4 linked regions of the Anolis sagrei genome follow. The protein of the gene in region 2 interacts with the protein of the main gene of each other region in a pairwise test. Links are inferred from orthologs where the notes say so. Each region holds a gene or a part of one and is shown on either strand. Other genes may lie near its edges.

Region 1 (7,686 bases), on a different chromosome or scaffold from region 2:
CTAAAATGATCAAGGGTCTGGAGAACAAGCCCTATGAGGAGCGGCTTGTTTAGCCTGAAGAAGAGAAGGCTGAGAGGAGATATGATAGCCATGTATAAATATGTGAGAGGAAGCCACAGAGAGGAGGGAGCAAACTTCCTGACTGTGAGAGCCGTTCAGCAGTGGAACTCTCTGCCCTGGAGTGTGGTGGAGGCTCCTTCTTTGGAAGCTTTTAAAGAGAGGCTGGATGGCCATCTGTCAGGGGGTGATTTAAATACTTCTTGCCAGGGGGTTGGACTGGATGGCCCATGAGGTCTCTTTCAACTCTTTGATTCTATGATTCTAGGATATAAATTTATTTATTTATTACTTTGAACACTTTTACCCTGCCCTTCTCAACCCTTGGGGGGACTCAGGGTGGCTTCCAATTGGCAACAATTCGATGCCGCATAATAAAATACAAAACACCAATAATTACAACAGTTAAAAGCATAAAAACATTAAAACAATATACTTATAGTTTACCGAACTATTAACAGTCTGGTGGCCATTATCTAGCCGTATGCTGTGATTGAGTATTCCATTAAACTTATCCATAATCCATTTCCAAGCCATTGTCAAAATTGTCATTTGTCATTTCCGCCTAATTACCCGAAGGCCTGATCCCACATCCACTTTTTTACCTTCTTTCTAAAGTTGAGGAGGGATGCCGATGACCTAATTTCCCTGGGGAGTGAATTCCACAGGCGGAATTACCTTTGGGACAGTGCAATAAGGCAACAATAGGAAATTTTACCCTACTGACCGGATCCGGTATGGCTGATCTGAGATGGTTTAAAACAATTGATTTTAAAGTGAAGATAATTGATTTGAGTGTTTATGTATATTTATAGTTTATTTTAAGTTCCACCACTGAATATTTGCCATATATATGTTGTGCTCTGACCTGAGTCCTCTTTGGGGTGAGAGGGACGAAATTTAAATGTTTTAAATAAATAAATAATTTCAAGAAGGCTCATTCCACTTTGACTGCCATGGTTCCATCACATGGGACCTCATCGCATGAGTCTTTTGCTCCATCCTACAATGCTTCTAGGATGGAGCCCAATGGAACCCATCACATGACGCAGGGCTATATCCAGTGGGTTTCATCCTAGCAGTATCATTGGATGAAGCCCTGAGAACATGGGTGGCTACTTATGTTCTCTTTACCTAAGCTGGGGACAACACAGGGAAGCCGGGCAGCAATGGTTTTCCCCATGTGATAGGGAAGCAAGCAATGCAGGGCAATTAATGTCAATTTCCCTCACTGCCCAACAAATTTGCCCCATTGACCGACAGATTCCCCTGCTGTCCCCCTGCTTAAGTACTTCCATGTAATGGGATCCTAGGACTGGAAATGTATGAAGGGTCATCTAGAATTCTCAGCCAGAATTCCCCAGTGCCTCATTAAAATACAAAACCTAGGATTGCAAGGGATGGCACCATGGCAGTTGAAGTGGTATACAAGTGCTATAATTGTATAGTGTGAATGGGTTCTAGGCCTTAAAAATCATTCTTATTTCATGTCAACATTGGAACTTATCACATGAGGCTGGCCAACCACAATTGTAGCAGGATAATAATGTCTATTGTCAATAGTTGCTGCCTCTTTTGACCTTGTCACACGGCCGTTGAACATGCCCCACATCTCTGTGTTTCACGGGGGGGGGGGGGGGAGGGATGGAGAAGGGGTGGAGAAGTGGCCACCCCATACCCTTCATTGCCCGGCAGTTGATCCCATGGGAGAAGCGTGGTGTGTGCAGCTTCTCTCCATTAAAGTCTCCCATGTTGCCACGGCAGTGAAATGCACCAGCTCTGCCCTTCTTCACCCATAGAGCCAGCACAGTGTTGTCTGATGCGAGCCGGTGGGCTCCATGGGTACCTGGACTAAATTGGTGCATACCACTGAATTTAGCCCCCTGTGAAGAGGTCATTTGCTTCCCTCATTACTCCTTTTAATAGGACTCCTTTTCATAGATAGTAACAGTTAATGGCTATTCATTCCATTGCCATACCATTCTTTATTTCAGTATGATAGGTTCCTTCTGCTTCTGTTCCAATTTGATGGCAGCCATATGGCATCAGTGAGTATGATTCTTCATCTCTACCCCGTCTCGTTGCTATTACAAAACAGACCTTTCCTTTGGAAAAAACCTTTATTTTCTCTTCTTTTAATTTTTTCTTCAAATTGCCATAATTGCAAAATTGGATAAAAACAAAAAAACCAACCTTTTGTAGAATTCATTTCAAATCAGTCTTGTACGATAAAACATGAAACCAGTTTGGTGCAACACCTAAATGGAGACCATGCTTTCGTTCCAATTTAGCTATAAAGCTTGCTGCATAACTTCTTTTCATTCTAATTTACCTTGCAGGATTGTTGTGAGTATTAAATGAGTGCTAACAATAACAATAATATACTAATCTTACGTATTTTGGCAGTATGATCTTTTGAAGCTAAAGAAAGAGAGTTTTCACAGCATAGTATATTGACAGTTCTACAATACCAGTTCTACTGGTAGCCAACCAGAGTATAGAATCATAGAATCATAGAGTTGGAGGAGACCTCATAGGCCATTCAGTCCAACCCGCTGCCAAAAAGCAGGAAAATTGCATTCAAAGCACCCCCGACTGATGACCATCCAGTCTCTGTTTAAAAGCTTCCAAAGAAGGAGCCTCCACTACATTCTGGGGCAGAGAGTTCCACTGCTGAACGGCTCTCACAGTCAGGAAGTTCTTCCTCATGTTCAGATGGAATCTCCTTTCTTGTAGTTTGAAGCCATTGTTCCATGTCCTAATCTCCAGGGCAGCAGAAAACAAGTTTGCTCCCTCCTTCCTATGACTTCCTCTCACATATTTATGCATGGCTATGTGTCCACTCAGCCTTCTCCTCTTCAGGCTAAACATGCCCAGCTCTTTAAATCGTTCCTCATAGGGCTTGTTCTCCAGACCCTTGATCATTTTAATCTGTTCTTTCATATAGTTCAGCTTCTCTCGTTAACCTTTGAATTGGACAAATGGGTCAGAAGTGAAAGTAGGTCTTTATCCTACTTTATCCATGAGTAGGTCTTTATTTTCAATTTTGTTGATAAATTTGTAATTTTGGGGATGTGGGTTATTTATGGGCGGGTAGCAGTTGAGGATAAGGGCCCCCCGGTGGCGCAGTGGGTTAAAGCACTGAGCTGCTGAGCTTGTTGACCAAAAGGTCGCAAGTTCGATTCCAGGGAGCAACGTGAGCTTCCACTGTCAGCCCTAGCTTCTGCCAACCTAGCAGTTCGAAAACATGCAAATGTGAGTAGATCAATAGGTACCGCTTCGGCGGGAAGGTAACGGTGCTTCATGCAGTCATGCCAGCCACATGACCTTGGAGGTGTCTATGGACAACGCCGGCTCTTCGGCTTAGAAATGGAGATGAGCACCACACCCCAGAATCAGACATGGCTGGACTTAATGTCAGGGGAAAACCTTTACCTTTACCCTTAGCAGTTGAGGAGAGAAAGTCAATGTCATGTGGTGTTTTGAGTGTTGAACTATGAGCCTGGAGATCATATTGAAATCCCTGCTCAGATATGAAAACCTACTAGGTTATTTATTTATCGTGTCAGAAACAAGCCAAACAGTTGTATTGCATTTTTTAACAAAAAAACACAAACAAACAAAACACAAAGTTTGTAAGCTTGGTAGTTGATTATATGCCCTTTGACCAGTAGCTGGCCACTTGGAGTGCCTCTGGTGTTGCTGCAAGAAGGTCTTCCATGGTGCATGTAGCAGGACTCAGGTTACATCGCAGCAGATGGTCTGTAGTTTGCTCTTCTCCACACTCGCATGTTGTGAATTCCACTTTGTAGCCCTACTAGGTGACCTTGTGCAAATCACACTCTCCCAGCCTCAGAGGAAAACAAAGGTAATCCCCTCTCCCAAACAGACCTTGATGGAAAAACCCAATGATATTGTTTTAAGGGTCACTATATGTTGGAAATAACTTGAAAACATGCATCGACTAGCCTCTGAGCATCTTCATTTCTCTACATAATCGGTAGCACACTATATAATCTGCTGAGAGACAAGTTCTTGGTGCCTTCAAAAAGAAACAACATTTGTATGTGGTTGCACCTGGATTTGGAAAACAATTGACCAGAGAGAATTTGGTTAGCATTAGGAGAGATAGGTTAAATTGTTCATTCTTTTTATCTTCTGTTGCTGATCCATTTAATTGATATTGTAATTTGTGTCTGTATATCTTGAGTTCTTGTTCAATTTCCAAAGTGTCATGGACTATTGACTCGCATACGAAAGTTTAATTGAGCATTGTATGTCATAATCAATCTTCATAATGCAGTTGCTTCGAAACAATTTCATTTGATTTGTCATCATGCTTCCCTACAGATCTGAAGAACTACTGAGACAACAGATAATATTTTGGACTGAAACTGAAATTTGAATTGAAATCTTTTCCTTGACCTTTGTGTCATGCAACACTCTCCAGTTATGAATCAAAAGGATCCATTAGGAGAAGCAGAAGAAAGCGCTGTTTCCTTATGTGTGGTCTGTGGCCAGCCACATCAACCAGAAGAGAACCACATGTATACCTACACTGAAGATGTGGACGATGATCTCATTTGCCACATTTGTTTGCAACCTTTGCTTGAACCACTGGACACACCTTGCGGGCATACCTTCTGCACAGTTTGCCTTACAGATTTCTTAGTGGAACAAGACTTCTGCCCTATGGACCGTAAAACTCTGATACTACAGACTTGCAGAAAATCCAGCTTACTAGTGAATAAACTCTTGGATAAACTCTTGGTTAGCTGTCCTTTCACAGATTTCTGCTCAGAGATTGTGCAACGCTCAAACCTTGAACAACATTTCCAAAATGGGTAAGTCGTTTTATATATCACTTCCACAAAAGTTGAGAATTTGTTCAGTGCTGGTAAAAGATCCTCTACTTTTTCAGCGAATGATGCTTTCAAGTATTTTCATTTTTCTGCTGTAGTGTAAATAAGTTGTCTGTTGTATTTCATGCATTCTCAGTAGATGGTGGACCTAGCGTCTCTGTTTCTCACTCACAGTCCTTGGTCATTGGAGATGGTGTTGCAGGCTTCTGACAATTGAAGTCCAAAACATCTGGAACAGCAAAGGCATTATAGCCGTGATCTAGATCAACTTACCACTAGACCCCTTCCAAACAGCTGAATAAAATCCCACCTATGGAAACCGCCCTGAGTCCCCCTGTGGAGATAGAGCGATATATAAATAAAGTTATTATTGTTATTATTATTATTATTATTATTATTAATATCTGCTTTGAACTGGAATATACAGCAGTGTGGACTCAGATAACCCAGCGCGAAGCAGATATTGTGGGATTTTCTGCCCTGATATTCTGAGTTATATGGCTGTGTGGAAGGGTGCATTGGGTTCCCTCATAACTGGAAATACTGACTAGTGTTGGTGGCAATTTGAGCCCAAGAAGAGCTGGAAAGTTATACATTTTCCCCTACTACTCAAAATTATGCTATGGAACACCCTTACAAACAGCTGAATAAAAAACAGCTGTGAAATTGTGTTTGCTTACTTCCACATTGAGCATCCCATATCCTAAACACTCGGAACCAGAAGTGTGCTGAATTTCTGCCCCCCACCCCCCCCCCTCAGATTTTGCAATGCTTGCATATACATAATGAAATATATTGGAGGTGAGACACAACTCATAGAGTTTGGAAATGTTTTCATATACTATATTTTAATAATGTTGTGCATGTGACAAAGTTAGTGTACATTGCAGCACCAGGAGGTGAGACTTCCACTATTTCAGCCACCCACATGGATAATTTTGGATTTTGAAATGTTTTGAATTTGGGAATTCTATAAGGGATACCCAACCTGTATCTAGTTGATTGAACAGATCTCAGGCTAAGTTTATGAAGCACTTTGAAGGGATTTCTAATGGCTCAAGTGCTAATTTTGCTGTGCTAATTTGTTGCCTAGGGCTTAATACGCTCATACTTAAGAAACATTGCTTAAGTTCATGTAACATAGTGGAACTGGTTTGACAGCTACAACAATTTTCTGCCTCTTACCCAATTTCAATAAGCCCCAAATCCTTTTAATGTTTAGAGTTTAGAGAGCAGACCCCAGACAACCTACAGACTGGTCTCCATGCTCTTCACCTTTTCTTTTCTTACCCAAGGTTTTTCATCCAACCACTTTGCGAGCCACTTGTAAATTTTAACAGTTCTTTCTTTGCAATGTGGCAGTCAAGAGGTTGTTTGAATAACTCTGTTTTCACCCTAGGATATGGGACTTGTTAGGTGACACTTTCCTATAACCCAGTTGTGCTGATCACAGCTAATATTCTGTTCTTTCCTGCTATAACATGCCATTTTAGGAGTTGGGAAGAGAGTTCTTTCTTGTATATTATTCTACTGTTTTTATTTTAACTTCTAATCTACTTTGGAGTGTTTGGACATCAGGAAATAAATAAAATAAAGCAATCATATTCAGTAGCAACCACTTAAAGTAGACTTTCTGTTTGACTTTTGGATTTGGTACTATAGCCTAAAATTGCTTTAGACAATTTTAATTTCAGAGATGGGCATGCTGTTTCAACACTTTTCTCCATGCGGTCTTGCCATTTGAAAAATCCAATCATTGGGAACATCAGAAAAGTTTTGATAATTTAGGCAGAACTATATGTTCCAACACTGATCTGGCTCAGACCAACTTTAACAGCCTAGTAAATTATCAACATCCATTTATTGGCATCTGCATTGATCACACAGCAAACATTCTGCATGGCTGGCTTTTTTTGACAAGTATTCATGGAACTAATGTACAAAAATAATGCAAAAATTATGAAAAATGTGTTTCTCAAGTGCTGAGAAAATCTGATAGTAGAATTTTGAAAAATTCACAGAACAGGATCTATTTTTAAGCCTTCTAAGCAAGAAGAAAATTGCTAAAATTTCTCAAAAAGACTATTAGCAAAAAAATTCCTTCAAGAAGACTATTGGTTAAGTATTACATTCATAGTGTCGGGTAGCTGAGACCAGATCCAGACAGGCCTTTATCCCAGGAGAATCCACTTTAAAAACACGGACCTGTCCACACCCATCCCAGAGAACATCTGGAGGGAGGCCCTACCCCCCTCCCCTGAAGCCTCCAGACCCCTTAGAAAAGTAATAAAAACTTACCCAGACTCCATTACAAGCTCCGGTGGACTCTCCCGTCGCGTAGAAATGATGTGCCAGGAGAGCTGGAGGGGAGCAATTTTCCTCCCTTCCTCGTCCTGCTCGACGAGCCTGCCGAGGCTTGTAATGGAGGCCAGGTAAGTTTTATTACTTTTCTAAGGGATCTGGGGGCTTCAGGGGAGGGGATGGGTATTCCCACAGTTATTGGCCTTATTTAGCCCGGTAAACTGTGGGAATACGGTCTGAGCTGCAGTATTCTGCAGTCCAGATGCCGGAAATAGTGGATTTATCCCACACCTTCCAAGAAGGCATCAAATAAATCAACTATCAAATTAATTTGCTACAAGCTGGGATTTTTCTGGTTTATAGCGAATTAATTTGGGACTGTCCAGAACATTGTCTGGACAGCTCCTCCTTTATTGTGGAAGTTATCACAATAAAGGTCCGGTCTGGACGGGCCCTGGGTCATGTA
Region 2 (8,275 bases):
ATAGAATCCTAGAGTTGGAAAAGACCTCATGGGCCATCAAGGCCAACCCCCTGCCAAGGAAGCAGAAAAATCACATTCAAAGCACCCCTGACAGATGGCCATCCAGCCTCTGCTTTAAAGCCTCCAAAGAAGGAGCCTCCACCACACTCCAGGCAGAGTGTTCCACTGCTGAACAGCTCTCATAGGAAGTTCTTCGTAATGTTCTGGTGGAATCTCCTTTCCTGCAGTTTGAAGCCATTGTTCCACATCCTAGTCTCCAGGGCAGCAGAAAACAAATTTGCTTCCTCCTCCCTGTGACTTCCACTCACATATTTATTCATGGCCCTCATCATGTCTCCTCTCAGTCTTCTCTTCTGAAGGCTAAACATGCCCAGCTCTTTAAGCCGCTCCTCATGGGGCTTGTTCTCCAGACCCTTGATTATTTTAGTTGCACTCCTCCAGACACATTCCAGCTTGCCAACATCACCCTTCAATTGCAGTGGCCAGAATTGGACACAGTGTGATTCCAGGTGTGGTCTGACCAAGGCTGAATAGAGGGGTAGCATGATTTCCCTGGATCTAGACATTATACTCCTATTTATGCAGGCCAAAATCCCATTGGTTTTTTTAGAAACCACATGAGATTGTTGGCTGTGTTCACCTTCCTGTCCACGAGGATCCCCAAGATCTTTTTCACATGTACTGCTGTCGAGCCAGGCGTCCCCCATTCTGTATTTTTGCATGGGAAGGGGGCCAGGCTTTGAATTCTAGAGCTTACCAAGGAAGGATTCTGACTTGACTTTTTCCTCCCGAGGGCTCTGCGATGAACGTCCTCTCTCCGCCCCTCGTCCGGCCCAGCGAAGCTCTATGCACAACCTGATGTCTCCCGTGCCCTCTCTTTTCCGGGCACTCACAGCCATCTCTGACAACGAGTCTCCCATGGGCTGGAGCATCTTGACTTTGCCAGTTGAGGAGGAGCTGAGGCAGAACCACGTAGAGACAGACCATCTCTTGCTGGGGCCACACACAGGTAAGTGTACCTGGCCCAGAGGAGAAAGCATTGATGTCGCAATAATGAAGGATACACAGCCATGAACTTTCCTCTTCTCACTTGCAGGCTTGGTTCTCCCAGATGCTGAAGGCCTCAATGCCACCACACCACCTTGCCAGTCCATTTTCTTCAACGAGTGCCTGTCCATGAGCCGATGCCGGACAGCTTGCCAATCAGTGGGAGCCTGGCGCTACCGCTGGTTCCACAATGCCTGCTGCCAGTGTGTAGGGCCTGACTGCCGGGGCTATGGCGGGGCCCAAGCCATTTGTTCCAACTGCCGGGATTAACTCTCAGCTTTTCTCTTTACATGTACATGTACACATGTGTGGGGCCCTCAACCAACTTATTTACCTGCCTACCTCTCTCTCCCACCTTCCCTTTCTTCCTATTCTGAGCGTTGTGAGCAAGACCAGTCCAATACATTTTTCATAACATTATTTTTGATGCTACTTCATAACTATAATTTTGCTGCTGTTATGAATCATCATGTAAACATCTAATAAAGGTAAAGGTTTTCCCCTGACATTAAGTCCAGTCGTGTCCAACTCTGGGGGGTGGTGCTCATCTCCATTTCTAGGCCGAAGAGCCAGCGTTGTTCGTAGACACCTCCAAGGTCATGTGGCCGGCATGACTGCATGGAGCGCCGTTACATCTGATAGGCAGGATGTATTTTCATTCATCGTACCAAATTTGGAGCCATGGAGAAGAAGAACTCAACAGGTTCCTGGACCATCTTAACAGCATCCACCCAAACATCCAATTCAGTATGGAAAAAGAAAATGAAGGAAGACTGCCTTTTCTAGATGTCCTAGTCATCCGCAAACCAGATCAACAATTGGGTCACACTGTCTACAGAAAACCCACACATACAGATAGATACCTACATAAAAACTCCAACCATCACCCAAGTCAAAAAAGAAGCACCATTAAAGCCTTGGCAGACCGTGCAAAAAGAATCTGCGAACCCCACCTCCTCCAAGATGAACTGAACCACCTAAACTGGGCTCTCCAGGCCAATGGAGACTCCACTTCAGACATCAGAAGAGCTGCAAGACCAAGAACAAGCCACGAGAATAAAGATGAAGATCCACCCAGAGGAAAAGTGTTCTTGCCATATATCAAGGGAACCACTGACCGCATAGGGAAGCTGATGAGGAAACACAACATACAAACTATTTACAGACACACCAAGAAAATCCAACAAATGCTACGTTCAGCAAAGTACAAGAGGGATCCTCTCACCTCTGCAGGAGTCTACCGTGTACCATGCAGCTGTGGACAAGTTTACATAGGGACCACCAAACGCAGCATTGCCCAAACACGAATCAAGGAACATGAAAGGCACTGCAGACTACTTCAACCAGAGAAGTCAGCCATAGCAGAGCACCTGATGAACCAGCCTGGACACAGCATATTATTTGAGAATACAGAAATGCTGGACCACACCAACAACCACCATGTCAGACTACACAGAGAAGCCATTGAAATCCACAAGCATGTGGACAATTTCAACAGAAAGGAAGAGACCATGAAAATGAACAAAATCTGGCTACCAGTATTAAAAAACTCTAAAATCACAACAGCAAAACAGCAGAGAGGAAACAACCAGGCACATCTTAACACCTCTCAACAAAAGGTTTTCCCAGGCTCAGGCAGGCCTTCAAATGCTAATGAAGATGGTCAGCTGAAACATTCACACCTACCTCTAGCAGAGAAGAGCTCTTTGCCCCACCCCAGCCATTCCACAGATATATAAACCCATTGTCCTATTTCCAACAGACTTCACTACCTTTGAGGATGCTTGCCATAGATGCAGGCGAAACGTCAGGAGAAATGCCTCTAGAATATGGCCCTATAGCCCGAAAAAACCCACAAGAACCTAAAGTATTGGTTCTCAAACTGCTATCCTTCAGATGTTTGGAACTTCAAGTCCTAATATTTCTGAGCACTGCTCATATTCGCTAAAATCAAAAATATCTCAAGGACCTGATTTCGAAAGCTGCTGGAGGGGAAGGATTGATGAGAGAAAATAGTATTCTTGAAGTACTACATGTCTACCTGAAAATATACAATAGGCAAAGGTTTCTGAGACTAGCTTCTGGCACCTGGTTAACCACAGAATGTGGGCTTCCTAAGGTGTTGGATAACAGCTGTATCTTTAATCTCAGGTAAGCAAGTAGAATGCATGTTTGAAACCTTGATAGGCCACCATATGTAGCAGGAGGGCTGAACTGGTGAGAAATAGATTTTGGGAGCTCTATTCCTCAGGCTGTGGGGTGAAGTCTTTCTGAAGAGGGTGCTCACCAATGCTTCCTCTTCATCCTGGAAAGAAGTGACAAGTGGAGTGCCGCAGGGTTCCGTCCTGGGCCCAGTCCTGTTCAACATCTTTACTTATGACTTAGATGAAGGACTTCAGCCAGCCATCACCGAAACCTGAACTCCTTTTCCCTTGGAAGTCTACAAAGCTCTGCTTGGTAAGGGTCACTCGCGGAAGCCAGAAACAGTTGGTACCAGGTGCAGGGGCTCCATGCCAATAGAGGCAAAGACAGACTGCCCAGGTTAGAAGTTAAGGATTTCCCCATTAGTTACAGTTATGAAGATAGTGCCTGTTCCCTGTGGACAAGATTGAGAGAGAGCCAATAGACTGTTAAGAAAGCCTTAAAGTACCTGTTTGTTTTCATCAATAAAGAACATTGTTGAACCTTTAAACAATCTAAAGACTCTGTTTTAAGGAAATCCAAGGGCCTTTAATCTGAGGCAGCCCTGGAGTCCCATTGGGCACACAGAATTTATGTCCTGTCTACAGTCTTATGCACAGGCCCAGCATGCGACAGCACATTGGACATTACACAAATACATAAACCCTACTTGCCTAGTCAGGAGAAAATGCTTCTGGAACATGACCACACAGCCTGGAAAACTCACAGCAAACCAGTGTAGGGTTGTTTCCCCATTCAAACGCATGCTGCTTTGGAAGCACGAAGACAACACAATTACAAGTCCCTTTTCCCAGCCTTGCTAAACTCTGTTTCTCCAGCCTTACCAAGGAGCTGCGGCTAAACCTGCCAGTGGTTCTCAACCCGGGGTCCCCAGATGTTTTTGGCCTTCAACTCCCAGAAATCCTAACAGCTGGTAAACTGGATGGGACTTCTATGAGTTGTATTTATTTATTTATTTTTTACAGCTTTTATATTCTGCCCTTCTCACCCCGCAGGGGACTCAGGGCGGATTACAGTGTACACATATATGGCAAACATTCAATGCCAATTTTTGACATACAAACATATACAGACATAGACAGAGGCTATTTAACTTTTTCTGGACACCAGGGGAGCTGTCACTTTCATCGTCCATCTGCGACGCTGATGAAGCACTTCCGCATTCCCCGCATGCTTCCCCACTGGAATGCTTTGCTGGAGTCTTTTTTTATGGCCTCATAAATTAGTTAATTTAGCCTCCCCACACAAGGTGGTACCTAATTTTGCTACTTGACAGACGCAACTGTCTTTCGGGTTGCAAAAGTCGACAACAGGCTACACAATTGGTTGGAAACCCACTCCAACCCGGGCTGGCTTCGAACTCATGACTTTTTGGTCAAAGTGATCTTAATGCAGTTGACACTCAGCCAGCTGCGCCACAATCCCGGTGTAGGCCAAAAACATCTGGGGACCCCAAATTGAGAACCACTGAGGATGAGAAAGAGAAGTAGAAGGCCAAGAAGACCTGAACAGGCTTTATTAACTGAGGTATCAAAGACAAAATCCCAGTTGCCTTTCACCTGGTCAGGAGCAGCTTTCCGCCCTAAATGTTCCAGAACGGTTGAAGCAACAATGAAGGGAAAGCATGCCTCTGAGCACGTGCAGAGTGAAGTCTGGCAAGCCAGCCCTCTGCATGGCAAGGAGGGGGTGGGGAGGTTGGGGTTGAAGGTAAAGGGGTGTGGTTTGAGCTCGGGCTCCCCTTTGTTGTGTTGCTTTGTTATTCCAAAACATAGTTGGTTCACCTAAGCAGCTGGATTTTGCCTTTCTTCCTGCCTTTCAAGAGCGGAGTGGACCACCGCCCCGCCTCTTGCAGCCCCTGCCAGGCCCCTGGATGGCTCTGCCGCCCTGCCCGTCCTCTGTGATGCTCGCCGGTCCCTCCCGGGTGGGTGAGCCCCCTTTCCCCTCCATGGCCCCGGCCTCTCCCCCTCATGAGGCCCTTGAAGCCCCCTTCGCCTCTCCTTCCTTTCTGGCCTCCCTCTCCCCCTTTTTGCTGCCATTCTCTCCTCTTTTCCTCCCTGTTCCTTTTGTCTGCCCTTCCTTCCTTCTTTCCTTCCTTCCTTTTGTCTGCTTCTTCTCTTTCTGTCATTGTCTCCTTCTGTCATTCCAAGTTCCCACTTTTCTTTCCTCTCCTGCCTTGCTCCCCACATCCTTTCTTCTTCCCTCCGCTCTCTTCTTTCTTTGCCTTTTGATCTCTCCATAGTGACAGCATGCTCTTCTTTCCCATCTTTCTTTCCGAGTTGGGGGAAGAGAAGGTAAGTGGCTCCAAAGAATAGCCATTTGCTTCCTCTTCCCAAACCTGTCCTGTCTTTGCTGGGGGTCCTTCCACACAGCCCTATTCAGCTGGGTGGAAGGCCCCCCAGAATATCAAGGCAGGAAATCCCACATTATCTGAGTGCGGACTCTGGGGGCCCTTCCACCCAGCTGAATGAAATCCCACATTTTATGCTTTGAACTGAAATATATGGCAGTGTGGACTCAAATAACCCAGTTCAAAGCAGATATTGTGGGATTTCCTGCCTTGATATTCTGGGTTATATGACTTTGTGGAAGGGCCCTGAGATATAGGGCTTGAGGAAGGGCCCTGTGACAATATAACAGGAAGAAAAGGATGCTCTGATGGTGATCCTTAATGTGTTTTCCTGTTCCTTTTCATCTTTTGCTAAAAGGGAGGATCTGAGAAATTGGGGCAATTCCTTGGAAGCATGGGGGACAGCAGGCAGGTTGGATGGCATGGGAGGAAGTGTGGGATTTTGTATTGTCAGAGGCGTTTGTGGCCGGAATCTCTGGGTTGTGGTGAGTTTCCCGGGCAGTATGGTCATGTTCCAGAAGCATTTTCTCCTGACATTTCATCTGCATCTATGGCAGGCATCCTCAGAGGTTGTGAGATCCCTTGCCTTTTTCAAACAGACAAGAGTTCTTTCTCCCACCCTGGACATTCCACAGATATATAAACCCCACTTGCCTAGCTTCCAACAGACCTCACAATTTCTGAGGATGCCTGCCATAGATGGGGGAGAAACTTCAGGAGAGAATACTTCTGGAACATCTATGGCAAGCATCCTCAGAGGTAGTGAGGTCTGTTGGAAAGTAGGAAAATGGAGTTTATATATCTGTGGAATGTCCAGGGTGGGAGAAAGAACTCTTCTTTGTTTGAAGAAGACAAGACACCTCACAACCTCAGAGGATGCCTGCCATAGATGGGGGAGAAACTTCAGGAGAGAATGCTTCTGGAACCTCTATGCCAGCCATCCTCAGAGGCAGTGAATTCTTCACAGCACAAGGTGTCACCCCAAAGGAGATTCATCAGAGAATGCAAGCTGTTTATGTTGATTGTGTTGATGTGAGTACTGTGTGTCGTTGGGCAAGTAAGTTTAAAGATGTTGAGGTGGGAACAATCTGATTTGTGCAACAAACAAAAGCTGGACGTCCTCTGACAGCAACCACCGAGTTTCACAAGCAAAAGGTTGACAGATTGATTTAGGATGATCATCATATCACTCAGAGAGTTCTGGCCCAACTTATCTGTCCAAATGCATCTCCCTTTATGAACCTTCCAGGGCTTTAAGATCGTCTGGGGAGCCCCTGCTCTCGATCCCACCCTCATCACAAGCACGACTGGCGGGGATGAGAGACAGGACCTTCTCAGTGTTGGCCCCTTGTCTATGGAACGCCCTCCCTAGGGATATTAGATCAGCTCCCTCCATTTTAACATTCTGGAGGAAAGTCATAACTTGGCTTTTGGAGCAAGCGTTTGCAAGTACAGTGTGACTGCCATAGGAGTAGAGTAACTGCTTTGGGAGTCTGTGATCAGGCATTCGGACAACGTGGCTGGTCCAGCAAAGTAGATGGCGGAGGAGCATCGCTTCAAGGCTGGTGGTCTTTGCTTCTTCCAGCACACTGACATTTGTCCGCCTGTCTTCCCAAGAGATTTGCAGGATTTTCCTGAGGCAGCGCTGATGGAATCGTTCCAGCAGTTGCATGTGACATCTGCAGAGAGTCCACGTCTCGCAGGAGTATAGCAGGGTGGGGAGGACAATAGCTTTATAAACAAGCACCTTGGTATCCCTATGGATGTCCCGGTCCTCAAACACTGCTTCATTCAGAAAAATGCTGCACTTGCAGAGCTCAGGGCAGTGTTGTATTTCAGTGTCAATGTTGACTTTTATGGAGAGGTGGTTGCCAAAGTAGCAGAAATGGTCAACATTTTCTAATGTTAAACTATTAAGCTGTACTTCTGGCATTGAAGAGGGATTGGCTGGTGACTGCTCGAAGAGCATTTGGTTTTCTCGATGTTTAATGATAGGCTGAGCTTCTCATATGCTTCTGCGAAGGTGTTTAGAGTGGCTTGTAGGTCTTCTTCTGAATGCGCACAGATGACGTTGTCATCAGCATATTGGAGTTCTATAATAGATGTTGTAACCTTGGTTTTGTCTTTGAGTCTGCTGAGGTTAAATAGCTTGCCTTCTGTCCGCAGATCATTTCCACTCTGGTGGGAAGCTTCCCATCAACTAGATGAAGTGTCATAGCGATGAAGATGGAAAATAAGGTTGGGGCAATAACACATCCCTGTTTGTATCCAATTATCTGGCAATTATGTGGAAAAGTGAATAGTGGTAGTTAAAGAGCACATTCTAAGGATTATTTCTGCGTTTGGTTTCCTAAAATATTCCCATCCAAACCCAAGTAAAGAAGGTGGAGGCATTACTTTTCATTCAACCCTCGCATTTATGGATTTTAGGGTTAGCTCATCCAGGACATTCAGCAGAGAGTTCTAGGCAGTCGAATGGAAGAACCTTTTTTCTGGTCGGGAGGGGGCGATAGGGAAGGAGAGCAGAGAAGGAGACATAGATGGAGGAGGACCAATTCAGGGTCTGGAGCCTCTTAAAGGGACCGTTTCCCAGGATGACGGGACTCCGCCTTTTCCCTTCGTTTCCCAGCGTGCACTGCAGGGAGCAGGGGAGAGAGAAAGAAGGAAGAAAAGTCCTGA
Region 3 (8,112 bases), on a different chromosome or scaffold from region 2:
AGTTCCATGGCTGAACGGCTCTCACAGTCAGGAAGCTCTTCCTCATTTTCAGGTTGAATCTCCTTTCCTGTAGTTTGAAGCCATTGTTCTATGTTCTAGTCTCCAGGGCTGCAGAAAACAAGCTTGCTCCCTCCTGTCACAACTCAGGATAGATTCATCTTGCTCAGAACAACACCACACACCAAGGCTGTAGTTTTTGTAGTTTATTGAAGAGAAAGCAAAATCAAAAACATAGAAATAAGGTTGCAAAAGCCAAAATAGAGTCTTAAATGCAAAGACAGAGTTTCCAAGGTCCAAAGGCAAATAACATCAAGTATAATCCACAAGTATTGGTCAAACAAGAATCCATGGCAGCATGACAAAGTCCCCAGAAACCAAGATCAAAACCAAAGTCACAAAGAACCAAAAGCCGAGACAATTCCAAAGAAGTTAACAGGGTGTAAGCAAAGTTGCACTGACAAAGGGTTGACTGCAATCAGATCGTCAAATAAGCTTTCCTAGCATGAAAGCATTACGTTGACCATTTGTTAGCAAGCCGAGAACTTCGGCGTACTCTTAATTGCAAACAGTCCTCCCTAACTAAATCCCCATCACCTTCAAGGCCGAATAACTCATTATCCTGGGACTGGCCAGCCTGGGAATCCACAGGCACTCAAATCATGACCATCATCTAAAACAGTGGTTCTCAACCTTTCTAATGCCGTGACCCCTTAATACAGTGCCTTATGTTGTGGTGACCCCCAACCATAACATTATTTTCATTGCTACTTCACAACTATAATTTTGCTCCTGTTATGAATCATCTTGTAAATATCCAATATGCAGGATGTATTTTCATTCATTTGGCACAAATACTTGATACGCCCAAATTTGAATACTGGTGGGGTTGAGGGGAGGATTGACTTTGTCATTTGGGAGTTGTAGTTGCTGGGATTTATAGTTCACCTACAATCAAAGAGCATTCTGAACCCCACCAACGATGGAATTGGACCAAATTTAGCACACAGGGCTCCCATGACCAACACAAAATACTGGAAGGGTTTGGTGTTGGAGTTTTAGTTCACCTACAACCAGAGATCACTGTGGACTCAAACAATGATGGATCTGGACCAAACTCTACACGAATACTCAATATGCCCAGATGTGAACACTGGTGGAGTTTGGGGGAAATAGAATCTTGACATTTGGGAGTTGTAGTTGCTGGGATTTATAGTTCACCTACAATCACAGCATTCTGAACCCCACCAACAATAGAATTGGGCCAAACTTCCCACACCGAACCCCCATGTGCAATGTGGCAGGGGATGTAAGGCTGTAATGTTCGTTTGTGGGATTAACAGAACTCAAAAACCACTGGACGAATTGACACCAATTTTGGACACAATAAACCTATCAGGCCAACGAGTGACCATCACTCAGAAAAACACAGACAAAACTTAAAAATCCAAAAAATAAAAAGTACATTACAACGCATGCACAAAACCACATATATACACAAATATATACACACAAAACACATACACAGACTGGGCCACAGCAATGCATGGCAGGGGGTGGCTAGTCTGTAATAACTGAAGGTACATGAGGAAATTGGTGTTGTTATGGCAGTTTCTGCTAGTAGTTTCTAGCAGTTAACCAGTACATTCCAGGTGGACGTAGCCAGCTTTATTGCTACTACACACACAAGACAGAAAATAACTACTAATTTCCCCATGTACCTTCAGTTCCTTTTATAGTGCGTATAGCAGGGTTGGGAGGACAATAGCTTGGTCTGCCTACAGATGTCCCGATCCTCAAACACTCTGCTTCATTCGGAAAAATGCTGCACTTGCAGAGCTCAGGCGGTGTTGTATTTCAGTGTCAATGTTGACTTTTCTGGAGAGGTGGCTGCCAAGGAAGTGGAAATGGTGCACATTTTCAAATGTTACGCCGTTAAGCTGTATTTCTGGCATTGGAGAGGGATTGCCTGGCGACTGCTGGAAGAGCACTTTGGTTTTCTCAATGTTCAATGACAGGCCAAGCTTCTCGTATGCTTCTGCAAAGGTATTTAGAGTGGCTTGTTGGTCTTCTGAATGTGCACATACGACATTGTCATCAGCATATTGAAATTCTATAACATGTTATTTGTAACCTTGGTTTTGGCTTTCAGTCTGCTGAGGTAAATTGCTTGCCATCTGTTCGATAGATGATTTCCACTCCAGTGGGAAGCTTCCCATCAACAAGATGAAGTATCATAGCAATGAAGATGGAGAATAATGTTGGGGCAATAACATCCCTGTTTGACACCTGATTCCACCTTGGCTGGTGACTGCTGGAAGAGCACTTTGGTTTTCTCGATGTGCAATGACAGATCTGGACCATTGAACTGGATTCACTTACGCCCAGAGACGCTGTGACCACCATCAATGACAGATCTGGACCAAACTTGGTACACAAAACCCCTCATGACCCAAGCTGGTTCATCAGGTGCTCTGCTATGGCTGACTTCTCTGGTTGAAGTAGTCTGCAGTGCCTTTCATGTTCCTTGATGCGTGTTTGGGCAATGCTGTGTTTGGTGGTCCCTATGTAGACTTGTCCACAGCTGCATGGAACACGGTAGACTCCTGCAGAGGTGAGAGGATCCCTCTTGTCCTTTGCTGCCTGGACACAGCATATTATTTGAGAACACCATGTCAGACTGCACAGAGAAGCCATTGAAGTCCACAAACGTGGACAATTTCAACAGAAAGGAGGACACCATGAAAATGAACAAAATCTGGCTACCAGTATTAAAAAACTCTAAAATTACAACAGCAAAACAGCAGAGAGGAAACAACCAGGCACATCTTAACACAGTTAAGAGATGCATTGGGTTGTTATTGCTGTGTCAATATTGTGTATTATGTTTTTGTGGTTTTAAATTGTATATTGTTGATTGTTGTACCTTTGTTGTAAACCGCGTTGAGTTGCCGTGAGGCTGAGAAACTGCGGTATACAAGTAAAGTAAATAAATAAATAAATATTGTGCGCCAGCTGCGCCCGTACCTTGGGAAGTCTGACTTGGCCACGGTAGTCCACGCTCTGGTTACATCCCGTTTAGACTACTGCAACGCTCTCTACGTGGGGTTGCCTTTGAAGACAGCTCGGAAGCTCCAACTAGTCCAACGCTCGGCAGCCATGATTTTAACAGGAGCGGAGCGCAGGGAGCATACAACCCCCCTGTTGCGCCAACTCCACTGGCTACCGATCTGCTACCGGGCTGAATTCAAAGTGCTGGCGTTGGCCTTTAAAGCCCTAAACGGTTCCGGCCCAAGCTACCTATCCGACCGCATCTCTGCCTATGAACCCACCAGGACTTTGAGATCTTCCGGGGAGACCCTGCTCTCGATCCCGCCTGCTTCTCAAGCTCGGCTGGCGGGGACAAGAGATAGGGCCTTCTCGGTGGTGGCTCCTCGGCTGTGGAACGCCCTTCCTACGGACATTAGACTAGCACCATCTCTAATGGTATTCCGCAAAAAGGTGAAGACCTGGATGTTTGAGCAGGCGTTTGAGTAATTTAGTGCAATCTGGTAATGGAACATAGGAATGGAACAATGGACGACGAACCTGGACTACGCTTGGATGATGAGAAGATTGGGTATGGTTGTTTTTTGTAATAATTGTGCATTGTAATTGCTTATTGGTAGTTTATGGACAATGTGTTAAGTCAATTGTTATATGTTGTATGGAACCACGGCTGTTTCTACTGTTTTTACTGTTTGTGAACCACTGTGAGTCGCCTTCGGGCTTGAGATACAGCGGTATATAAGCTAAATAAATAAACACCTCTCAACAGAACATTTCCCCAGGCTCAGCCAAGCCTTCAACTGCTAATGAAGGTGGTCGGCTGAAACATTCACACCTAGCTCCAGCAGAGAAGAGCTCTTTGCCCCACCCCAGCCATTCCACAGATATATAAACCCATTGTCCTAACTACCTCTGAGGTAGTTAGGACAATGTTAGGTAGTGTCCTCACTACCTCTGAGGATGCTTGCCATAGATCATAGAATCATAGAATCAAAGAGTCGGAAGAGACCTCATGGGCCATCCAGTCCAACCCCATTCTGCCAAGAAGCAGGAATGTTGCATTCAAATCACCCCTGGCAAATGGCCATCCAGCCTCTGCTTAAAAGCTTCCAAAGAAGGAGCCTCCACCACACTCCGGGGCAGAGAGTTCCACTGCTGAACGGCTCTCACAGTCAGGAAGTTCTTCCTAATGTTCAGGTGGAATCTCCTCTCTTGTAGTTTGAAGCCATTGTTCCATTGCGTCCCAGTCTCCAAGGAAGCAGAAAACAAGCTTGCTCCCTCCTCCTCCCTGTGGCTTCCTCTCACATATTTATACATGGCTATCATATCTCCTCTCAGCCTTCTCTTCTTCAGGCTAAACATGCCCAGTTCCCTAAGCCGCTCCTCATAGGGCTTGTTCTCCAGACCCTTGATCTGCTCCCTCCTCCCTGTGGCTTCCTCTCACATATTTATACATGGCTATCATATCTCCTCTCAGCCTTCTCTTCTTCAGGCTAAACATGCCCAGCTCTTTAAGCCGCTCCTCATAGGGCTTGTTCTCCAGACCCTTGATCATTTTAGTCGCCCTCCTCTGCACACATTCCAGCTTGTCAATATCAAGATGCAGGCGAAACCTCAGGAGAAATGCCTCTAGAGCAGTGGTTCTCAACCTGGGGTCCCCAGATGTTTTTGGCCTACAACTCCCAGAATTCCCAGCCAGTTTACCAGCTGTTAGGATTTCTGGGAGTTGAAGGCCAAAAACATCTGGGGACCCCAGGTTGAGAACCACTGCTCTAGAACATGGCCCTATAGCCCGAAAAAAACCTACAAGAACCTAGTGATTCCAGCCATGAAAGCCTTCGAAAATACATTGAACATCCCAATGGGGGTGAGTGGAAGGGCCTGCATTGCTCTCTCTTCCCTTTCTCTGAGTTCCCTGGTCGCTATGGCAACGGGCGCCATTTTGACTTCCTAGCGCGGCTCAAAAGCTTCCCGGCGTCCTTTGCGCCTTTGACCCCCGCTTCCGTAACCCAAGATGGCGGCATTCAGGAAGAAGGAGTAAATGCTTTCAGTGAGTAGAAAGTTAAAGCAACTTACTGGGGTTGAGGGAGGAAGAAGGGCCAGGGATAGGTCATCACAAGGAAATCAGGGGGATTATTATTATTATTATTATTATTATTATTATTATTATTATGTAATAATGTATCTATATCTATAGAAATAAAAGTGTAATGTTTGTGGGATTAAGAGAACTCAAAAACCACTGGATGAATTGACACCAAATTTGGACACAAGGCACCTCACAACCCAATGTATGTTCTTCACTCCAAAAAATGATTTTTGTCATTTTGGGAGTTGTAGTTGCTGGGATTTATAGTTCACCTACAATCAAAGTTCATTCTGAACTCCACCAACGATGGAATTGGGCCAAACTTGGCACACAGAACTCTCATGACCAACAGAAAATACTGGAAGGGTTTGGTGGGCATTGGCCTTGAGTTTGGGAGTTGAAGTTCACCTACATCCAGAGATCGCTCTGGACTCAAACAGTGAAGGATCTCGACCCAAACTTGGCATGAATATTCCATATGCCCAAATATGTACAGAGATGGGATTTGGGGGAAATAGATCTTGACATCTGGGAGGTGTAGTTACTGGGATTTATAGTTCACCTACAATCAAAGAGCATTCTGGACTACACCAATATGGAATTTATCCAAACTTGGCACACAGAACTCTGATGACCAACAGAAAATACTGGAAGGGTTTGGTGGGCATTGGCCTTGAGTTTGGGAGTTGTAGTTCACCTACGCCCAGAGATCACTGTGGACTCAAACAATGATGGATCTGGACCACATTTGGCATGAATACTCAATATGCCCAATTATGAATACTGCTGGAGTTTGGGGAAAATAGATCTTGACATTTGGGAGTTGTAGTTACTGGGATTTATAGTTCACCTACAATCAAAGAACATTCTGGACTCCACCAACAATGGAATTGAGCCAAACTTGGCTCACAGAACTCCCATGACCAACAGAAAATACTGGAAGGGTTTGGTGGGCATTGACCTTGAGTTTGGGAGTCTTAGTTCACCTACACCCAGACAGCACTGTGGACTCAAATCAAACTTGGCATGAACATTCCATATGCCCAAATATTTATTTATTTACTTATTTCCAGGCTTTAATGGTGCTTCTTTTTTGACTTGGGTAATGGTTGGAGTTTTTATGTAGATATCTATCTGTGTGTGTGGGTTTTCTGTAACCGGTGTGACCCAATTGTTGGAGGAAACAGACAAGGACATCTAATCACCTCTCGACAAAAGATTGCCCCAGGCACTGTCGGTCCATTATATGCTATCAAGGCGGTCAGTTGAAACATTCACACCGAGCTCCAGCAGACAAGAGTCCTTTGTCTCACCCTTGTCATTCCACAGATATATAAACCCTTTTTCCTAGTTCCAACAGACCTCACTACCTCTGAGGATGCTTGCCACAGATGCAGGCGAAACGTCAGGAGAGAATGCCTCTAGACCATGGCCATATAGCCCGAAAAAACCTACAACAACCCAGAGATTTCGGCCATGAAAGCCTTCGACAATACATTCAACATTTTCTTATGACTTTATTTTCCAGGTCACCAGACTGGGCCACAGCAACATATGTCAGGGCACTGCTAATAATAATAATAATAATAATAATAATAATAATAATAATGTTGTTGTTGTTCATTCGTTCAGTCATCTCCGACTCTTCGTGACCTCATGGACCAGCCCACGCCAGAGCTCCCTGTCAGCCGTCACCACCCCCAGCTCCTTCAAGGTCATAATAATACCCTTAATATAATAATAATAATAATAATAATAATAATAATAATAATCAACACTTCCCTTTTGTCTTTCTTTCCTCCTCATTCCGTGTCTTGTTTCTTTGTTTCCTCCTTTTCCTTTTGTTTATTTACCTCCTTTCTCCTAAACTGGGACGCTATCTCTTCCCAAGATTGCAACTTTCTAGGATCCAGTCTTCCCAAAGTCTTTTACTCTTCTTTCCAATCCAGGTACTGTATCCCTGCAGACTGAATCGAAGCCATGTCGAAGATCTCTCGTGCAGCCAAAACCGTACAAAAGGTGGACCCTGGAAATGTCATCCGGGCCATCATCCGAGCGGGACAGGCCGTTCCGGGACCGCCTTTGGGACCTGTCCTTGGCCAGGTATGTGTGGAAGACAGCAAATATGCAAACGCATAATCATCATCATTATTATTATTATTATTATCATCAAACTGTTATGGAGCCCCTGTGCTGGCAGGACTAAAGACAAACAGGTCGCAGGTTCGAATCCGGAGAGAGCATGGATGAGCTCCCTCTATCAGCTCCAGCTCCTCATGTGGGGACATCAGAGAAGCGTCCCACAAGGATGGTAACACATCAAAAACATCTGGGCAACAACCTTGCAGACGGCCAATTCTCTCACTCCGGAAGCGATGTGCAGTTTCTCAAGTCGCTCCTGACATAACAAAAAAAAAAATCAAACTGCTTGGCGCAGTGGGTTAAACTTGTTGACCGAAAGGTCACAGTTTTGAATTTGAGCAGCTGTGTGAGCTCCTGTTGTTAGTCCCAGCTTCTGCCAACCTAGCAGTTTGAAAACATGCAAATGTGCCTAGAGCAATAGGTACTGCTTTGGTGGTAAAGTAACAGTGCTCCATGTAGTCATGCCGGCCACATGACCTTGGAGATGTCTATGGACAGTATGTGGAAAAATGAATAGTGGCAGTTAAACAGCACTGTGTCATTGTTTTATTGTTTGCTTTATGTTTTATTATTTGCTTATGAGTTTTACTGTGTATTGTATGTTGTTGTTGTTGGCGGCCTTGGCCTTTGTAAGCCGCATCGAGTCCTTCGGGAGATTTTGCGGGTTATAAATAAAGTTAATAATAATAATAATAATAGCATATTCTGAGGATTATTTCTGCATTGGATTTATTAAAATATTCCCATCCAAACCCAAGTAATGAAAGTGGAGGCATTATTTTTCATTCAACCCTCGTACTTTCTAGTTTCACGTAAAGCTGATTGTGGCAGTTGAA
Region 4 (7,499 bases), on a different chromosome or scaffold from region 2:
GTTAAAATGGTCATTTGGGCAATCTATAATACCACTTTCTGGATGATATAAAGTATTTTTTTTAATTCAGAAATTCCTCCTAACAACATCAACACTAGGCTTTCTTAAAAGCCTGCAATCTAGTTTAATAAGGAAGTGACAAAGATACAAAATTTCATTCGGGTAAAGGGAAACTTTGGATCTTGTTACCAGCAGCATAACATTGCAGATAGTTATAAAGTAATTCATAACTGGAAGCATTATTATTTATTTATTTGCTTTACTTCTATACCGCATTTTTCAGCCTAGATTAGGCGACTCTAACATTACTCACCTTTCTCCTTTTTGACGCTTTAACTTGCCTTTATATTCTGTCCACTTAGTTTTGTCTGAAAGCTCCCCCGATACAAAGTCTTGTAAATCCGGTCCAGTTTGTAAAGATGCCTTCTGTTCTTCTGGCAATGAGCTTGATAGTCTAGATTGGTTATGTATATTGCTTCCAAGCACCTAGAAAAACGTAGCGGCATTATTCCAAATAGTAAACATAAAATCAGCTATATCCATAGACATATATTGAGTAGGAGGAGAAATCGTACAACCCTTCAGCTATTGCTGGACTACAACCCCCATCATTCCTCATTGGTTATTTTGGCTGGGGCTAATGGGAGCGGCACCCCAATAGTTTCTGGAGGACCACATACTCCTCCTCCTCCCAAAAAAGCTATAATCATGGCAAGTAATCTTATAGTCCAAATGATGAAGGACAGGATTTTCAATTATTCCCACTTTCCAGGAAGATTCTTATCTAATTGTAATACAGGTCCGTTGTCAAGTTCTCTCCAGTTTCTAGAGCTGCCTAGTAATATGAAAAGCTGCTTAAGGAAGTGGGAAAGTTAACAAACCAATGCATGTAGTTTCCAATACAGCTGTTTGAACTGGTGATAAGTATTTCTCAAAACCTCTGGATGTTAATAATTAAGAACCTATGGTTAATGACTTCTGTCACTGATGTGATCCTGACTGTGATGCCATCATAGCTAATTTTGGGTTATTGTAGGTTTTTAGGGCTATATGGCCATGTTCTAGAAGCATTCTCTCCTGACGTTTTGCCTGCATCTATGGCAGGCATCCTCGGAGGTTGTGAGGTCTGAACTTAGTGATTCCAGCTCTGGAAGTCTTGGACATCGCTGATTTTATTTTATTACGAGAATATACACTCATCGGTGCAAAATTTACATTTATAAAATAACAATTTGGTCCACTCAATGGTGCCTCTAAATGTGTTAATCTCCCTTCTAATGGATATAGGCTTGGATCTTTTAACACAGCCCTTTAATGGAGCCTAAAATATATATTTTACTACTTCCAGTCCAAAAACAACATGATGGCTACGTGCTCTAAATTTATCTATAATGCAGCAGCGAGCACTACAATGCAGTCCGGACGTATCTCCCCTATGAACCGTCTAGGATCTTAAGGGGAGGCTCTGCTCTGCAGTCACATTTAGTGGGGACAAGAGACAAGGCCTTCTCCGTGGTGGCCCCTTGGCTGTGTAACTGCTTCCTCAATGAGGTTAGATCTTTCCCCTCCCTCCTGACCTTCCAGAAGAAGCTTAAATCCTAGTTATGAGATCAGGTGTTCACAGAATAGTTTGTTTACTGGGAAAGACAAGTTTTTTTGGACCGGACTACTTTGGATGACGATTTTAATTCTGGTGATTCTAATCTGGCAAGTGGGTTTTAAATGCATATTTAGAATTATTTTAATTTTGTGGATGTATTTATTATGTGTTTTATATTATGTTTGGCATCAAATTGTGGCCTGTTTGGAAGCTGTTCTAAGTCCCTCTGCAGAGGTCAAGAAGGATGAGGTATCAATATTTTAAATAAATAATATAATATAATTGAGATTATCAAAGCAGATAATCCACATTATCTGCTTTGGACTGAATTTTATTTATTTATTTATTTATTTATTTATTTATGGCATTTGCATGTTACCTTTCTCACCCTGATGGGGACTCAGTATGGCTTATAAGATATATACATACAATATATTATATTACTAGCATAATACAATATCAGTATTATATATTACCCTATTGTAGTATACCATTATACTGTAATATTATTAGTATTACATGTAATATAAGATATATAATAATATCATACTGTTAGTAGTATTATGTTGTATTACATTATAATATTACAACTATTATATGTATATACATAATATTATATTAGCATAGTACAGGAGACAAGGTGGAACTGTCCCCTGGCCCCCCCTCTCTTCACTCTGGCCCAGAGCGGCAGTTGGTGCTGGGGGGAGGGGTCCACAACTGATGACATAAACTTGTTCCATAAAAAGTCTACATTATATGATCCATTATATAACTGGATTACATTGCCATGTAATCCAGTTCAAAGAACATAATCTGGATTTTATATGGCAGTGTAGAAGGGACCTTCAAGTTTGACTTTGGACCATTGACTTCTGGCTGGATCTTTACTTGTGAAATATGTGCTTACAGGAGAAACTCAGGTTCAATCTAACTGGCCTTATAATGCAGTTTTAGAATGCAGATGAACTATATTGATCTGGGTTATATAAATCAGTGTAGAGGCTCTCCTGATGAATCTGTATAATGACCAAGTAGCAACAGTAAGAACTGACCATGGAACAACAGAATAGTTCAAGACTGGGAAAGGCATACGGCAGGGTTTTACACTCTCACCCAACCTATTCAACTTGTATGCAGAACCCATCATGTGATGTGTGGGGCTTGATGAATGCAAGACTGGGGTGAAAATTGCTGGAAGAAACATTAACAACCTTAGATATGCAGATGATACCACTTTGATGGCTGAAAGCGAGGAGGAGCTGAGGAGCCTTCTAATCAAGGTGAAAGAAGAAAGCGCAAAAGCTGGGTTGCAGTTAAACATCAAAAAAACCAAGCTTATGGCAACAAGACTGATTGACAACTGTCAAATAGAGGGAGAAAATGTGGAGGCAGTAACAGACTTTGTATTTCTAGGTGCAAAGATTACTGCAGACGCAGACTGCAGTCAGGAAATCAGAAGAGCAATGACCAATCTCGATAAAGTAGTGAAGAGTAGAGACATCACACTGGCAACAAAGATCCGCATAGTTAAAGCAATGGTATTTCCCGTAGTAACCTACGGATGTGAAAGCTGGACCATAAGGAACACTGAGCAAAGGAAGATAGATGCTTTGGAACTGTGGTGCTGGAAGAAAGTTCTGAGAGTGCTTTGAACTGCGAGAAGATCCAACCAGTCCATACTTCAGGAAATAAGGCCCGACTGCTCATTGGAGGGAAGGATAGTAGAGGCAAAGATAAAGTATTTTGGCCACATCATGAGAAGAAAGGGGAAAATGGAAGGAAAAAGGAAGAGGGGCAGACCAAGGGCAAGATGGATGAATGGCATCCTTGAAGTGACTGGCTTGATCTTGAAGGAGCTGGGGGTGGTGACAGCTGATAGGGAGCTCAGGTGTGAGCTGGTCCATGAGGTCACTCGCTGGAATACCTCAGCAAGCAAGAGTCCAAAAGTGGCAGGCTCAAACCCAGAACCTCAATCAATGGCTGATACCAAATGAGAGACTCCCTCCTGGGCACACAGAAAACTGGGTGACTTGGAAGGCGCTGAACAGACTGCGATCTGGCACCACGAGATGCAGAGCCAACCTTCAGAAATGGGGCTACAAAGTGGAATCCACGACATGCGAGTGTGGAGAAGAGCAAACCACTGACCACCTGCTGCAATGCAACCTGAGCCTTGCCACATGCACAATGGAGGACCTTCTTGCAGCAACACCAGAAGCAGCAACACCAGAAGTGGCCAGATACTGGACAAAGGACATTTAATCAACTACTTTGTGTTTTGTTTGTTTGTTTAAAATGCAATGCAACTGTTTGGTCTGCTCCTGACACGATAAATAAATAAATTTGCAGTGTAGATGGGGCCTCCGTTTTCAAAAGAAAACATTCCCCTTCCAAACTCTCTCAGCCACAGAGGAAGGGCAAAACCAAACTTTCTGAGCACCTGCTAATGAGACCCTGTCGTGACGTCAGGATAGGCCGCAAACAAAACAGGGTCACCTGTGTGAGGTGACATGACAACACAATATCCCACATTCGACTTGAAGCGGCCCTGGCGCCCTCCCGGAGACTCACCGGCCTCTCCAGCCCCGCCAGCCTCTTCAACTTCGACAAAGAGCCAGCCCCGCTGGAGAGGCCTCGCTGGAGCAACGCCATACCGGCCTCTCTCCGTCCCTCAGAGCTCTGCAATCGCCTGCTCGTCCTGCGTGGCGATTGATTGGTCGAGTCCACCATCCCTGACGTAATAGCGTCACCAGGAGAACGTCGCGTGGCCATATAAAAGCGTGATGACGCAGCACGCTCTTCCTTTCCGCCTTTCTGTGAAGTGAAAGGTAAGGGACGCGTCTCTTTTCGGGAGTCGGAGGGCCGGTTAAATCCGGTTCCATCTCAAGAGCGGAGGCACTTGAGTGGTGTAGACGCCCCGCGACAACCAAAGGCAAATGTCACTGAATGTGTCGGGAACAGCTCTGGTCTTTAATTCGGCTGGGCTCCGGAGGAAAGAGGGCCAGAAACAAGGCCTCTTTTCGTTGAGGGGAGACAGGCGCGTCTACGCATGCGTGGACTGTTTTGCCCACTTAAGAGCCCAAACAGTTCCCCAATATTGCTTAGCAGGATGTTGTTGGGCCTGGGGAAAAATGGAAGCTGGAAATTAGTCGCATATAATGTTAGTGAAGCTTAAAGGTTGTGATTTCACCAATCTGTACAATATAACGCCCTATCTGTGCCATGATGGTTGGAATGTGTCTAGATCTAAGGAAGTCATGCTACCCCTCTATCCTGCCTTGGTTAGACCACAACTGGAATATTGTGTCCAATTCTGGGCACCACATTTGAAGAGAGACAAGCTGGAATGTGTCCAGAGGAGGGTGACTAAAATGATCAAGGGTCTAGATAACAAGCCCTATGAGGAGCGGCTTAAAGAGCTGGGCATGTTTAGCCTGAAGAAGAGAAGGCTGAGAGGAGATATGATAGCCATGTATAAATATGTGAGAGGAAGTCACAGGGGGGAGGGGCATGCTTGTTCTCTGCTTCCCTGGAGACTAGGACGCGGAACAATGGCTTCAAACTACAAGGAGATTCCATCTGAACATTAGGAAGAACTTCCTGACTGTGAGAGCCGTTCAGCAGTGGAACTCTCTGCCCCGGAGTGTGGTGTAGGCTCCTTCCTTGGAAGTTTTTAAACAGAGGCAGGATGGCCATCTGTCAGGGCTGCTTTGAATGCAATATTCCTGCTTCTTGGCAGGGGGTTGGGCTGGATGGCCCGTGAGGTCTCTTCCAACTCTGATTCTATGAATGGTTTTCAGAATTTATTTATCGTGTCAGGAGCGAACCAAAACAGTTGTATTGCATTAAAAGCAAATAAAACACAGTTTGCAGGCTTGGTATTCTATTAAATGTCCTTTGACCAATATCTGGCCACTTGGAGTGCCTCTGGTGTTGCTGCAAGAAGGTCCTCCATTGTACATGTGGCAGGGCTCAGGTTGCATTGCAGTAGGTGGTCATTCGTTTGCTCTTCTCCACACTCGCATGTTGTGGATTCCACTTTGTGGCCGCATTTCCTAAGGTTGGCTCTGCATCTTGTGGTGCCAGAGTGCAGTCTGTTCAGCACCTCTGATTTGGTATCAACTATTGATTGAGGTTCTGGGTTTCAGCCTGCCACTTTTGGACTCTCGCTTGCTGAGGTGTTCCAGCGAGTGTCTCTGTAGATCTTAGAAAATTATTTCTTGATTTAAGTCATTGGCATGCTGGCTGATACCCAAACAAGGGATGAGCTGGAGATGTCACTGCCTTGGTCCTTTCACTATTGTTTGCTACTCCTCGGCGGATGTCAGGTGGTGCAATACCAGCTAAACTGTAATTTCTCCAGTGGTGTAGGGCACAGACAATAATGCGGCATGTCTCATTAAGAGCCACATCCACTGTTTAAGCGTGGTGAGATGTGTTCCACATCGGGCATACATACTCAGCAGCAGAGTAACAAAGTGCAAGGGCAGATGTCTTCACTGTATCTGGTTGTGATCCCCAAGTTGTGCCATTCAGAATAGATAGCACCTATTTTGCTCATTGCAGAGGCCTGCCTTTGAAACTGAATGGAGATGATCATAACTCAAACCAATATACGTACAAATGTTTACTGATTGATGTCAGTGAAGAAAATGTGGGCCAAGATAGTTTTAGCAATATTGTACTTAAAACATATGAATTTGAGCAAAAAAAAAATCTGCTTGATTTTATCATAGCTTCCTACCTGAAAACTATAAAACACCATGTGGTTTTATTATACATGTGGCTCTTTGTTGTGTCTCTTTTGTTTAGGTTCAAAATGAAGACTATTCTCAGCAACCAGACTGTTGACATCCCTGAGAAAGGTATGTACATTTCTTTGAGCTTTTTTAATTTATAAAACTGTTTATATTTCATGAGTTCCTCAGTGTCATACAGTGTTTTACTTCTCGCAGTTGACATTGCCCTGAAGGGGCGAACAGTCATTGTCAAGGGCCCCAGAGGAACCCTCCGACGGGACTTCAATCATATCAACGTGGAGCTCTCTCTTTTGGGGAAGAAACGTAGGAAGGTGAGCATTTGATAGATTTTACGTTAATACATACATGTCTCTCATAAATTGTTCGATGGATGTATATATCCTGTCATTGGTAAATGTCTTTCTTGCCAAAAGGGGGGGGCACGCGATTGTGGCTTTTCTGTTTTTGCTGGAAAGACGTGCATTGATTTTAAAGTGTTCAGATTTCATTTTAGTTTTGCTTATTAAGTGAGGCTATTTTGGGTTTGATGGATGCTTGTGCAATAGGGTCGAATGATGCAGCAGTTTGGAGTGTAAAATCAAAACTTAAAAGAAGGTGATTAATTTTGCTCTTTCTGGTTTTCCTCCTCTTCTGTTTTTTTTTTTCCCTTACTGCAAATACGAATCTGGAGCACCTGTCTGGAAGGAGCTGTAGGGAAGAAATGTATCTATTTCTTTGTGTAATTTAGAAATACAAGGACCAGTTTCTTGTGTGACAAACTGTCAAGACAGTTTGTATTGAGTGTAACAGAAATACACTTCCTGTTAGCCAGTTGCTGTAATTCAAAACCTTAATTGTTCTGATGCAGACTTGTATCACCAAGTGTCAAAATGTCATGTATGTAGGTTGTCATTACATTTTATTTTTAACTGTACTTAACAGGCTGCAGCTCTCATGTATAAGTTATATCTGAATGTCAGAACTTATTTATTTATTTACAGCTTTTATATTCCGCCCTTCTCACCCCGCAGGGGACTCAGGGCGGATTACAGTGTACACATATATGGCAAACATTCAATGCCAATTTTAACATACAACATATACAGACATACACAGAGGCTATTTAACTTTTTCTGGTCACCAGGGGAGCTGTTGCTTTC

The links.
Region 1: the proteins of HOMEZ (region 2) and LNX1 interact in binary tests that used the Homo sapiens proteins (3 or more experiments, as listed by UniProt). The link is inferred for Anolis sagrei from reciprocal best matches to the Homo sapiens genes HOMEZ and LNX1.
Region 3: the proteins of HOMEZ (region 2) and MRPL11 interact in binary tests that used the Homo sapiens proteins (3 or more experiments, as listed by UniProt). The two-hybrid records come from large-scale screens. The link is inferred for Anolis sagrei from reciprocal best matches to the Homo sapiens genes HOMEZ and MRPL11.
Region 4: the proteins of HOMEZ (region 2) and RPL9 interact in binary tests that used the Homo sapiens proteins (3 or more experiments, as listed by UniProt). The two-hybrid records come from large-scale screens. The link is inferred for Anolis sagrei from reciprocal best matches to the Homo sapiens genes HOMEZ and RPL9.

The regions. Positions count from the first base shown.
Region 1 is NC_090025.1:74,812,655-74,820,340, forward strand, and holds the start of LNX1 (E3 ubiquitin-protein ligase LNX), read left to right. Parts: upstream 1-4,482; 5' UTR 4,483-4,491; coding exon 4,492-4,901; intron 4,902-7,686.
Region 2 is NC_090026.1:9,112,116-9,120,390, forward strand, and holds the start of HOMEZ (homeobox and leucine zipper protein Homez), read left to right. Parts: upstream 1-5,000; 5' UTR 5,001-5,170; intron 5,171-5,356; exon of another isoform or gene 5,357-5,540; intron 5,541-8,054; exon of another isoform or gene 8,055-8,275. Other genes in the region: twisted gastrulation protein homolog 1-B-like, read left to right, coding at 794-1,009, 1,097-1,317. UniProt on the Homo sapiens protein: May function as a transcriptional regulator.
Region 3 is NC_090032.1:17,365,283-17,373,394, reverse strand, and holds the start of MRPL11 (large ribosomal subunit protein uL11m), read left to right. Parts: upstream 1-5,012; 5' UTR 5,013-5,095; intron 5,096-7,083; 5' UTR 7,084-7,114; coding exon 7,115-7,237; intron 7,238-8,112.
Region 4 is NC_090025.1:80,543,083-80,550,581, forward strand, and holds the start of RPL9 (large ribosomal subunit protein uL6), read left to right. Parts: upstream 1-4,353; 5' UTR 4,354-4,428; intron 4,429-6,412; 5' UTR 6,413-6,419; coding exon 6,420-6,465; intron 6,466-6,555; coding exon 6,556-6,671; intron 6,672-7,499. Other genes in the region: LIAS (lipoyl synthase, mitochondrial), read right to left, coding at 314-486, 4,172-4,252.